Saccharomyces cerevisiae S288C: one gene and its partners. The protein of the gene in region 1 purifies or fractionates together with the protein of each later gene. This does not show direct contact. Each region holds a gene or a part of one and is shown in the gene's direction. Other genes may lie near its edges. The genes, in order: MTM1, ENB1 and SIT1.

What was found.
Region 2: the proteins of MTM1 (region 1) and ENB1 purify together in Saccharomyces cerevisiae (affinity purification with mass spectrometry, with the first as the bait; one large-scale study listed by BioGRID). This does not show direct contact.
Region 3: the proteins of MTM1 (region 1) and SIT1 purify together in Saccharomyces cerevisiae (affinity purification with mass spectrometry, with the first as the bait; one large-scale study listed by BioGRID). This does not show direct contact.

The regions. Positions count from the first base shown.
Region 1 is NC_001139.9:1,005,580-1,009,270, reverse strand, and holds MTM1 (Mtm1p), read left to right. Parts: upstream 1-1,965; coding exon 1,966-3,066; downstream 3,067-3,691. Other genes in the region: ssDNA endodeoxyribonuclease RAD2, read left to right, coding at 1-1,600; phosphogluconate dehydrogenase (decarboxylating) GND2, read right to left, coding at 3,169-3,691. UniProt on the Saccharomyces cerevisiae protein: Involved in the mitochondrial activation of SOD2 by specifically facilitating insertion of the essential manganese cofactor. Has the ability to activate iron regulon in an iron-dependent manner. Responds to calorie restriction (CR) strength.
Region 2 is NC_001147.6:18,973-23,320, reverse strand, and holds ENB1 (Enb1p), read left to right. Parts: upstream 1-2,009; coding exon 2,010-3,830; downstream 3,831-4,348. Other genes in the region: oligo-1,6-glucosidase IMA2, read left to right, coding at 1-796.
Region 3 is NC_001137.3:25,778-30,172, forward strand, and holds SIT1 (siderophore transporter), read left to right. Parts: upstream 1-1,879; coding exon 1,880-3,766; downstream 3,767-4,395. Other genes in the region: YEL068C (uncharacterized protein), read right to left, coding at 1-201; YEL067C (uncharacterized protein), read right to left, coding at 412-999; HPA3 (D-amino-acid N-acetyltransferase), read left to right, coding at 944-1,429; AVT2 (Avt2p), read right to left, coding at 4,020-4,395. UniProt on the Saccharomyces cerevisiae protein: Involved in the transport of siderophore ferrioxamine B and so has a role in iron homeostasis.

The DNA.
Region 1 (3,691 bases):
GCAACCGTATCATGTCACAAATTTGAATAGCAAATCAGAGTCGGTCATCAAAAGGACCAGCAAGACAGTTCTTTCTGAGTTTAGGCCACCGTCTCAGCAGGAGGATAAAGGGGCTATTTTAACAGAGGGGGAGCAAAACCTGAATTTTATTTCTCACAAGATACCACAGTTTGATTTTAACAATGAAAATTCCCTGCTTTTTCAAAAGAATACCGAGAGTAATGTGTCCCAAGAAGCCACGAAGGAAAAGTCTCCAATTCCTGAAATGCCGAGCTGGTTTTCTTCAACTGCTTCCCAGCAGTTGTATAATCCCTATAACACAACAAATTTCGTGGAAGATAAAAACGTAAGAAATGAACAAGAAAGTGGAGCAGAAACTACCAATAAAGGGAGTAGCTATGAACTCTTGACAGGCTTAAATGCTACGGAAATATTAGAAAGAGAAAGCGAGAAAGAGAGCTCCAATGATGAAAACAAGGACGATGACTTAGAAGTTTTATCAGAAGAACTATTTGAGGACGTTCCCACTAAATCTCAGATTTCAAAAGAAGCAGAGGATAACGATAGTAGAAAAGTCGAATCTATAAATAAGGAGCATAGAAAGCCTCTTATATTCGACTATGACTTCTCCGAAGATGAAGAAGATAACATAGTAGAAAATATGATAAAGGAACAAGAAGAGTTTGATACATTTAAAAACACGACTTTGTCCACTTCTGCTGAAAGAAACGTTGCCGAGAACGCTTTTGTGGAGGATGAATTATTCGAACAACAGATGAAGGATAAAAGAGATTCGGATGAGGTAACTATGGATATGATCAAAGAAGTGCAAGAATTACTATCGAGGTTTGGAATCCCCTATATCACTGCGCCTATGGAAGCTGAAGCACAGTGTGCGGAATTGTTACAACTAAACCTTGTCGATGGTATAATTACCGATGACAGTGATGTTTTCCTATTTGGAGGTACAAAGATCTACAAAAATATGTTCCACGAAAAGAACTATGTTGAATTTTATGATGCGGAATCTATTTTAAAATTATTGGGCTTGGATAGAAAGAATATGATTGAGTTGGCACAGCTTTTAGGGAGCGATTACACGAATGGATTGAAGGGTATGGGTCCCGTTTCAAGCATTGAAGTGATTGCAGAATTTGGAAACCTAAAAAATTTTAAAGACTGGTATAATAATGGGCAGTTTGATAAACGTAAGCAAGAAACGGAAAATAAATTTGAAAAAGACCTGAGAAAAAAACTGGTAAATAACGAAATTATCTTAGATGATGATTTTCCTAGCGTCATGGTTTATGATGCGTATATGAGACCAGAAGTCGATCACGATACCACGCCGTTTGTTTGGGGGGTACCAGATCTCGATATGCTTCGTTCATTCATGAAGACTCAACTAGGTTGGCCACACGAAAAGTCTGATGAAATTCTCATTCCCTTAATTAGAGATGTTAATAAACGCAAAAAGAAGGGGAAGCAAAAAAGGATTAATGAATTTTTTCCAAGGGAGTACATATCTGGTGATAAGAAGCTCAATACAAGTAAGAGAATTTCAACCGCAACAGGTAAACTAAAGAAAAGAAAGATGTAATAACATATACTTATGTATGATTTACTATTTATAAACATTACCTTTGTTTCTGCATGTTAACAAAGTCAACCGATCCAGGAATAGTAGATATATACGGTCCTTTTGGTATCTTTGCGTCGGTGAGGTATGACACTTTTGGCACCCACCCAAACACGCGCAACGTTATTTTTCGCCATCTTGAAGATCTCAGAATAGCAATTAGAGAATAAGACACATTCTGTCATTTTTGCATATTTCCGGGAAGATCACTCCTCTGGAATTGGGGCACACTACCCTCATATTTGTGCCAGTTCACTTCACAGGAATCGTATGAGCCAAAGCCATAAAGTATCGTAGGAAAGGAAACGAGGTGTTGATAATACGATATGAGTGATCGCAATACAAGTAACAGCCTGACCTTAAAAGAACGAATGTTAAGTGCCGGTGCTGGATCAGTACTCACTTCTTTGATTTTGACACCGATGGATGTAGTGAGAATACGGCTGCAACAGCAGCAGATGATTCCTGACTGTTCATGTGATGGGGCTGCCGAAGTGCCCAACGCCGTTAGCTCAGGCTCCAAAATGAAGACATTCACCAACGTCGGAGGACAGAACTTGAACAACGCAAAAATATTTTGGGAGAGTGCTTGTTTTCAAGAACTGCACTGTAAAAATTCATCGTTGAAGTTCAACGGTACTTTAGAAGCATTCACGAAAATTGCCAGCGTCGAAGGTATTACAAGTTTGTGGAGGGGTATTTCTTTGACCCTATTAATGGCTATTCCTGCCAACATGGTTTATTTTAGTGGTTATGAATATATAAGAGACGTTTCTCCTATAGCCTCGACGTACCCAACATTAAACCCCCTCTTTTGTGGTGCAATTGCGAGGGTATTTGCAGCAACAAGTATTGCACCTTTAGAATTGGTTAAAACTAAACTGCAAAGTATACCGAGATCATCAAAGTCCACAAAGACATGGATGATGGTTAAAGATTTATTAAACGAAACGAGGCAGGAAATGAAAATGGTGGGTCCTTCTCGGGCCCTCTTCAAAGGTTTGGAGATCACTCTGTGGAGAGACGTTCCGTTTAGTGCAATATATTGGAGTTCCTATGAACTTTGCAAGGAAAGACTATGGCTAGATTCTACTCGATTTGCATCTAAGGACGCAAACTGGGTCCATTTTATAAACAGTTTTGCCAGTGGTTGCATAAGTGGGATGATAGCTGCTATATGCACACACCCTTTTGATGTCGGTAAGACGAGATGGCAAATATCCATGATGAACAATAGCGATCCGAAAGGCGGCAATAGGTCTAGAAACATGTTCAAGTTCTTAGAGACTATATGGCGTACAGAAGGTCTTGCGGCCCTCTACACGGGCCTGGCAGCCAGAGTAATTAAGATACGCCCAAGTTGCGCCATCATGATATCTAGTTATGAGATCTCCAAAAAAGTATTTGGAAACAAATTGCATCAGTGAATAAAGGCTTGTAAATATAGATATATAGTAAACGAAAAGAAGCATATACGTATAATTATTTGTGGGAACGGCTCTAGAAAAGAAAACTTTGCCTTTAACTCCTTAAGCTTGGTAGGTTGAGGAAGATATATTACCTCCGTGCCCAGTCCAATTGATATGAATATCCTTGTCTACTGGCAAATGGGCAGAAGCACATTCAGGTAAAATTCTAAATGTATGAGCGCCAAAATAATCACGTTGCGCTTGTAACAAGTTTGCTGGTAGCCTCTCAGATCTATAGCCGTCGTAAAACGCTAAAGCAGTAGAGAAAGCTGGAGTTGGAATACCGTAAGTAGCAGCAAGGGCAATAGTTCTTCTCCAACCGGATTGGGCCTTAGTAACTGCAGAAGCGAAGAACTCGTTGAATAATAAATTTTCCAAATCTGGATCGTCCCTATAAGCCTTCGTAATCTCAGCTAAGAACACAGATCTGATTATACAGCCACCTCTCCACATTAGAGCAATAGCTGGGTTGTTTAATTTCCAGCCGTATGATCTGGCAGCTTCGCGGATCAGCATGAAACCTTGAGCATATGAAATAATCTTTGAAGCGTATAATGCTTGTTCCAAATCATACACAAATTGT
Region 2 (4,348 bases), on another chromosome or scaffold:
TTGGAAGGTTGCCCTTGCTGAACTTTTCAGATACGTTAACGGAACTGATTGTTGGTCAACAATTTATCTGGAAAATCACGACCAACCTCGTTCAATTACCAGATTTGGTGACGATTCTCCTAAGAACCGTGTTATTTCTGGTAAGTTGTTGTCTGTGTTGTTGGTGTCACTGAGCGGTACTCTATATGTGTACCAAGGACAGGAACTGGGTGAAATCAATTTCAAGAACTGGCCTATCGAAAAATACGAGGATGTCGAAGTTAGAAATAACTATGATGCGATCAAGGAAGAGCATGGAGAAAACTCGAAGGAGATGAAGAGGTTTTTGGAAGCAATTGCCCTTATTTCCAGAGACCATGCTAGAACACCTATGCAATGGTCTCGTGAGGAGCCAAATGCTGGTTTTTCTGGTCCTAATGCTAAACCATGGTTTTACTTGAACGAGTCTTTCAGGGAAGGAATTAACGCTGAAGACGAATCCAAGGATCCCAACTCGGTTTTGAACTTCTGGAAGGAGGCCTTGAGATTTAGAAAGGCACACAAGGATATTACTGTATATGGATATGATTTTGAGTTTATTGATTTGGACAATAAGAAACTGTTCAGCTTCACAAAGAAATACGACAACAAAACATTGTTTGCTGCTTTGAACTTCAGCTCTGATTCGATTGACTTCACGATTCCAAACAATAGCTCGTCGTTTAAGTTGGAATTCGGAAACTACCCAAGAAGCGAAGTTGATGCGTCTTCCAGAACATTGAAGCCATGGGAGGGCAGAATTTACATATCTGAATGATTGATGATTGTGACGACAAGATTTTTATACATATACATATACTTATTTTTATCTATGTTACATACCGCACTTTAAATAGTAACGACATATATCTGGTAGTGCGGTATGAGTTATGTAATACACTAAAGTATAGTTTTGTGTAGCATTTTCCATATGTCCTTGCATTGGTATTGTATTATAATAATGCTGAGAGAAGGGTTACTCTATAGCTCATTTGGCCAGATAATACGGCGAGTTATGTGCATATAAGAACAAGTACTAGTGAAATTATATATTATTGTTTATGATCAACAGAATCATCTCTACTACACACTGCATTATGAACTGCAGCCACATTTATCTAAGGGCGGAACGTACCTATGAAATGTCTCTACTACTTTTATGAAGATACTGATTTTTAGTTTGTCACAAATTTTACGATTCTGAAAACACATATACTTTCTTTTATGTTGATAGAGCAATAACACAATGGCCATTTAAAATCTAGCCAGCAAAATATATTCACCGGTTCGTACAATCTCATTTACTATTCCCTCTGAACGTCTTGACTTTGCTCCGCCAGCAAATTTTCCAATCCAACATGCAAGTCACGAAATGACGAATGAAGGCTGTATCAATCGTTCCTAACTGAGGATGGCTGAATAAAAATGAAGGGAAATTCTACGACAGTTTTAATTAGTTAATGAAGGGGTGTGAAAAAGTTAGAAAAAAAAAAAGTCAAATTCAGGAGAATAGACAAGCCTACATTTTCTGTAGTTCAAAACTTTTTATGGTTTGACTTTGTTTTTTTTTTTTTTCGTTTTTCTTTTTTAGTTGAACTAATGGGACCCTCAAACCTAAAATTTTCCGTTTTCGTTTAATCCTCGCATCATATATACCAAATAAGGACACAGGGTTTTCAGTGAGCAAATGTAAGGGTTTCTATGGATTATAAGCCCTTCGGATCAGAAACAGGGTTCCGTAGTTTGGGCAAGAATTGCCCTTAGTCCTGAGTCAACTGCAAAAATCTGTTTAAATTATTGCACCCAAATGTGATACAAATGTATACTATTATAGAGGCTGCCACGGCTTACAATTGCACCCCTCTGTGGCTTTTGAGTGGCGAAGGGTCTATGTTTGGATAATAGAGATGACTTATTTAATTGAAATGATGGTTTGGGTCCTAGCAGAACTCTAATATAGCAAAAAAGTGCTCGTGAATGTCTCTCTGAAAATGCTGGAAACTGATCACTCTAGGAATGACAATTTAGACGATAAAAGCACTGTCTGCTACAGCGAAAAGACAGATAGCAATGTTGAGAAGTCTACCACGTCTGGCTTGCGCCGTATAGACGCTGTCAACAAGGTCTTGTCTGACTACAGCTCTTTCACAGCTTTTGGAGTTACGTTTAGTTCACTCAAGACCGCCCTACTGGTGGCTCTGTTTTTGCAGGGTTACTGTACTGGACTCGGAGGGCAGATTTCGCAATCAATACAAACCTATGCCGCTAACAGTTTTGGAAAGCATTCTCAAGTAGGATCGATCAATACCGTCAAATCAATAGTAGCCTCTGTTGTCGCAGTGCCATACGCACGTATATCTGATCGGTTTGGACGTATAGAATGCTGGATTTTTGCGCTTGTGCTCTATACTATTGGAGAAATTATTTCTGCTGCTACTCCAACGTTTTCCGGACTTTTTGCAGGTATTGTTATACAACAGTTCGGTTATTCTGGATTTCGTCTTCTTGCTACAGCACTGACTGGTGATCTGTCTGGATTGAGAGATCGTACATTTGCGATGAACATATTTCTGATTCCCGTGATTATAAACACATGGGTAAGTGGAAATATTGTTAGCTCAGTTGCTGGTAATGTTGCACCATATAAATGGCGTTGGGGCTATGGAATTTTTTGCATCATTGTGCCCATCTCCACCCTAATATTGGTCCTTCCCTATGTGTATGCTCAGTACATTTCCTGGCGCAGCGGTAAGTTACCACCATTAAAATTGAAAGAAAAAGGACAGACCCTGCGTCAAACGCTCTGGAAATTTGCGGATGACATAAACTTAATTGGAGTCATTCTTTTCACTGCTTTCTTAGTTTTAGTATTATTACCTCTCACAATAGCTGGTGGAGCCACCTCCAAATGGAGAGAGGGTCACATTATTGCAATGATTGTGGTTGGTGGCTGCTTAGGTTTTATCTTTCTAATTTGGGAATTAAAATTTGCTAAGAATCCATTTATCCCACGAGTATATCTAGGTGATCCAACCATCTACGTTGCATTGCTAATGGAATTTGTATGGCGTCTAGGTTTGCAGATTGAGTTAGAGTATTTGGTCACCGTGTTAATGGTAGCATTCGGAGAATCAACATTAAGTGCGCAGCGGATAGCTCAGCTTTACAATTTTCTACAGTCATGCACTAATATTGTTGTCGGCATTATGCTGCATTTCTATCCTCATCCGAAAGTCTTTGTAGTCGCTGGGTCGCTTCTTGGTGTCATCGGAATGGGTCTTTTGTACAAATACAGGGTGGTATATGACGGGATTTCGGGTCTTATTGGCGCTGAGATTGTGGTCGGTATAGCTGGTGGTATGATACGTTTTCCTATGTGGACGCTAGTGCACGCTTCAACCACCCACAATGAGATGGCAACTGTCACTGGGTTACTAATGTCCGTTTATCAAATCGGAGACGCAGTAGGTGCTTCCATCGCTGGTGCTATATGGACTCAGCGTCTGGCAAAGGAGTTGATACAGCGACTCGGCTCTAGTTTAGGGATGGCAATCTACAAATCACCACTCAATTATCTAAAAAAATACCCTATTGGATCAGAGGTTCGTGTTCAGATGATAGAATCCTATTCGAAGATTCAACGCTTATTGATAATTGTGTCCATTTCGTTTGCGGCTTTCAATGCTGTTCTCTGTTTTTTCTTGCGTGGCTTTACTGTAAACAAGAAGCAAAGTCTTTCCGCAGAAGAACGAGAGAAAGAGAAGCTCAAAATCAAACAACAATCATGGCTCCGTCGTGTAATTGGATATTGAGCTGGAGAGTACTAGCGATACAAATATAGTGTTAAGCTCTTTCCTGAACTAGAATTCTCTTTGAAATAATCACTGTTAATGTAAGTAGTAATCAATAATGGCGTGTAACAGTATAATATTGTTGTCTGAAATAAAAAACAACAAAAAGTTCGAATTAGTTTTATTTTATTTTTCTTTTCTAACTAAGTGAATATCCATACGTTTGTTACGTTTATTTCAGCAATATTATAGTCTTAAATGGGCTTGACAATACAAAAATCAATGAGATTATTCGCACCTGTCATTTCCCGTAGTTTTTATAAAGAAATATAAAAAAAAATGTTGCGAAGAACTTTTACTAGAGCGTAAACGAATTAAAAAAAATTAGTAGTGTAAATATAATCACCACCTGCCGTAAGCCTGCTTGAGCCCTTTATTATTTAGTTTTAGCTGTTGCTAACCTGACTTTCATACTTCTTATAATTGACGTCATAAAAAATATTCAAAGTTCGAAAGAATGAAGAAAACATTGACCGACT
Region 3 (4,395 bases), on another chromosome or scaffold:
AGTAATCCATGGATGATCTTCATTACCGCAAGTAGTCCAATTCACTGGTGGTAGTTTTACGCTCCAAAATCTCTTATCATAATCCGCTATGCGGTAAAATGTCGATGTATTATGCGTAAAATTGTTATAATTGTCTGTTGTATCCGTACAGCATACCAATGCCAAGCCTTGAAAGGCGACGGCTAGTGCCAAAATTTTCATCCTTTCAGTATACCTGATTTTGGCTTTATCCTTTCAATGTGCCTGATTTTGGCTTTCTCGTATCTTTCGCCTGATAATATGAAAAAGTATATACTGTGAAAAAACAACCGTTGGAGAGCTACGACCGACTGAAAAGATAAAAATGCTTGAGTTTTTCAGGTTAGCATGCCGTCTAGTAGAATTAAACCATTGTAGTTCTTCACTTTTGTATTAAACGTAGGATTGAGGCGGTGGCTGCTTTTGGTTTACTATGCGTTGTAAGGGGATGGGGAAATGGAACGTCCAGAAGAAAGTTATAGTTCCCGTTTGCATAACAGCAGAGACAAAAATGGTCGAGCACTTCCGTGTTGACTGTATATCTGTGCATGGTTGACTAATTGTTGTTTGATGGCCTGAAGTTCTTGTCACACTCTGCAAATTATCCCGACATTCAGACGTACACGTACAAAACACGAATGCTACTCTAGCATATCCAATCGATCGCACTGAAGCGATCAGCTGATGATCAGGCGGTACATTGCATACTCTGCGTAAGGCCTTTTTCACCAATTGACCGCATCGTATATTTCCCAATCCGGTTATTAAATCGTTATCAGGCGGAAACCTTCGCGAACAGTATACTGGAGAGTGTTGCGACAAGATATTTAAAAGCGGAAAACGGGCATATAAAATAGATGAGTGCAGACTAATGAAAAAGACCCCAGACCCATCTCCACCTTTTGCAAGCACGAAGAACGTAGGCATGTCAAACGAAGAACCGGAAAAAATGGTTAACGATCGAATTGTGGTGAAGGCCATCGAGCCAAAAGATGAGGAAGCCTGGAACAAACTGTGGAAGGAGTATCAGGGTTTCCAAAAAACGGTTATGCCTCCGGAAGTAGCCACCACTACCTTCGCAAGGTTTATAGACCCTACGGTCAAACTATGGGGTGCTCTAGCCTTTGACACCGAGACCGGCGATGCAATTGGCTTTGCACACTACCTGAACCATTTGACGTCGTGGCATGTCGAAGAAGTTGTCTACATGAATGACTTATATGTCACTGAACGCGCAAGAGTCAAAGGCGTAGGTAGAAAGCTCATAGAATTTGTATACAGCCGTGCCGATGAGCTCGGTACGCCTGCAGTGTACTGGGTTACAGACCATTACAATCACCGCGCACAGTTGCTGTACACCAAAGTGGCTTACAAGACAGATAAGGTTCTTTACAAGAGAAACGGATACTGAAACCGCTGTGTAATGTAGACTACTGTGTATAGAGATAACTCTAGCTTCTATAGGCTCACTTGCGAAGCTTTTTTCCCACTTTTTCCCAGTGAAATAGTTTCTTATTGGCTTTTCATAGTTTGTTCTCCGATTTAATCGCAAGCGCCGTACGGCGCAGGCACAGAATGACTTGCAGCTTAATCCAGGTGCATTTTAAGAAACTTATCTGCTGGGAAGACCCCGAAGTTCATCGTTTACAATGTGCCGTAAAGAACACATTTGAGGGTGCAATCTGGTTCGTCTTTTGCCATAATTAGTAGTGCTCATCCGTGATCCTTTAATTTACTTTTGTGATGCGATGATTTGCAGATACTATATAAGCAATGGACACCGTCCATCACCGATGAGGCTAGAACATCGTAGTGCTTTGTAAAAGAACTGTTAAAGACCCAGTACGAAAATTTTTCCATAATGGACCCTGGTATTGCTAATCATACCCTCCCCGAGGAATTTGAAGAGGTTGTCGTTCCCGAGATGCTGGAAAAGGAAGTAGGAGCCAAGGTCGATGTCAAGCCAACGCTAACCACATCTTCTCCAGCACCTTCTTACATTGAATTGATAGATCCAGGTGTGCATAACATCGAGATTTACGCAGAAATGTACAACCGCCCGATCTACCGTGTCGCATTATTCTTCTCACTTTTCCTCATTGCCTATGCTTACGGATTAGATGGTAATATCCGTTACACTTTCCAGGCGTACGCGACTTCGTCGTACTCCCAGCACTCGCTGCTATCGACCGTCAACTGTATTAAGACGGTTATTGCGGCTGTAGGCCAGATCTTCTTTGCCAGATTATCAGATATCTTCGGCAGATTTTCCATTATGATTGTCAGTATCATTTTTTATAGCATGGGGACCATCATTGAGTCGCAAGCGGTGAATATTACAAGATTTGCAGTTGGTGGTTGTTTTTACCAATTGGGTCTTACCGGTATTATTCTAATTTTGGAAGTTATTGCTTCTGACTTTTCCAACTTGAACTGGAGGTTGTTAGCCTTATTCATTCCAGCTTTACCATTTATCATCAACACCTGGATTAGCGGGAACGTAACAAGTGCCATAGATGCTAATTGGAAATGGGGTATTGGTATGTGGGCTTTTATACTGCCGCTAGCTTGTATTCCGCTTGGAATTTGTATGTTGCACATGAGGTATTTAGCAAGAAAGCATGCTAAAGATAGATTGAAGCCCGAGTTCGAAGCGCTAAACAAATTGAAGTGGAAGTCCTTTTGTATAGACATCGCATTTTGGAAATTGGATATCATTGGAATGTTATTAATTACTGTATTTTTCGGGTGTGTATTGGTTCCATTCACCTTAGCGGGTGGTTTGAAAGAGGAATGGAAAACTGCGCATATTATTGTCCCTGAAGTCATTGGTTGGGTTGTAGTGTTACCACTGTACATGCTATGGGAAATAAAGTACTCGAGACATCCATTGACACCTTGGGACTTGATTCAAGATAGAGGTATCTTTTTCGCTCTACTCATCGCATTCTTTATCAATTTTAACTGGTATATGCAAGGTGATTACATGTATACTGTACTAGTCGTTGCAGTTCATGAATCCATAAAGTCCGCTACAAGAATTACCTCCTTGTATTCATTTGTTTCTGTTATCGTTGGTACAATCCTCGGGTTCATACTGATTAAAGTTAGAAGGACTAAGCCTTTTATTATATTTGGCATTTCTTGTTGGATCGTCTCATTTGGTTTGCTGGTCCATTACCGTGGTGACTCCGGTGCTCATTCCGGTATCATTGGCTCTTTGTGTCTATTAGGTTTCGGTGCAGGTTCATTTACCTATGTGACTCAAGCTTCCATCCAAGCATCCGCTAAAACTCATGCAAGAATGGCGGTAGTAACCTCATTATACCTTGCCACTTATAATATTGGTTCTGCATTTGGTAGTTCTGTTAGCGGAGCTGTCTGGACTAATATCCTACCCAAAGAAATTTCAAAAAGAATTTCCGATCCAACCTTAGCTGCACAAGCGTACGGTTCTCCATTTACATTCATTACAACTTATACCTGGGGAACACCAGAAAGAATAGCTTTAGTCATGTCTTACCGCTATGTTCAAAAGATTTTATGTATCATAGGTTTGGTATTCTGCTTTCCTTTGTTAGGTTGCGCATTCATGTTGAGAAATCATAAACTAACAGATTCTATTGCTCTTGAAGGCAATGATCATTTGGAAAGTAAAAACACCTTTGAAATTGAGGAAAAGGAAGAAAGTTTTTTGAAAAATAAATTCTTTACGCACTTTACAAGCAGTAAAGATAGGAAAGATTAATATTATCTCACCCAAATAATTTCATACATGCACATATAGCTACTACATAGTCAAGAACATATCATAACATTTGGTATAACAGTCTTTATATCAGTCTTTGCATGGCTTTGCATCTGATGCTGGCTCTACCGACTTCTCGGCGATAAAATACCAAAAGAATTTGACGTATATACTATCCAAAGTGGATAAATATTTGAGTTCCAATGAGGTAACTAAACTAGTTTTTTAAAACCCAGCAGAAAGAAAAAATACCCTATATTTGGCAGTGCTGTCCATCAGAACCATTAACTGCATCAATAATAGTTTGGGTGCTGCTGATTATCATAATCATGAAACCAAAGCATATACAAAGATAGAAAGGAAGCCTTTCCTTCCAACTCTTCTTCTTACTAGTTAACAACAAATTTGTGTATGGCGGCAAAATGTAAGCCATAGTCGATGCCGTAGTGGCCCCAATCAGTTCAAATAATGCTCCTAAATTACATGTAGTTAATGATATACCCATGGTGATGAAGACTAGTGAAGAAGTTATAACGACGTGCTGTTTACCTGATAATTGAGTGTGTTCGTCATAATTTTTAATAAGGTTGCATTCATGTAACAAGTTACCGACAACATCTCTCAAAACA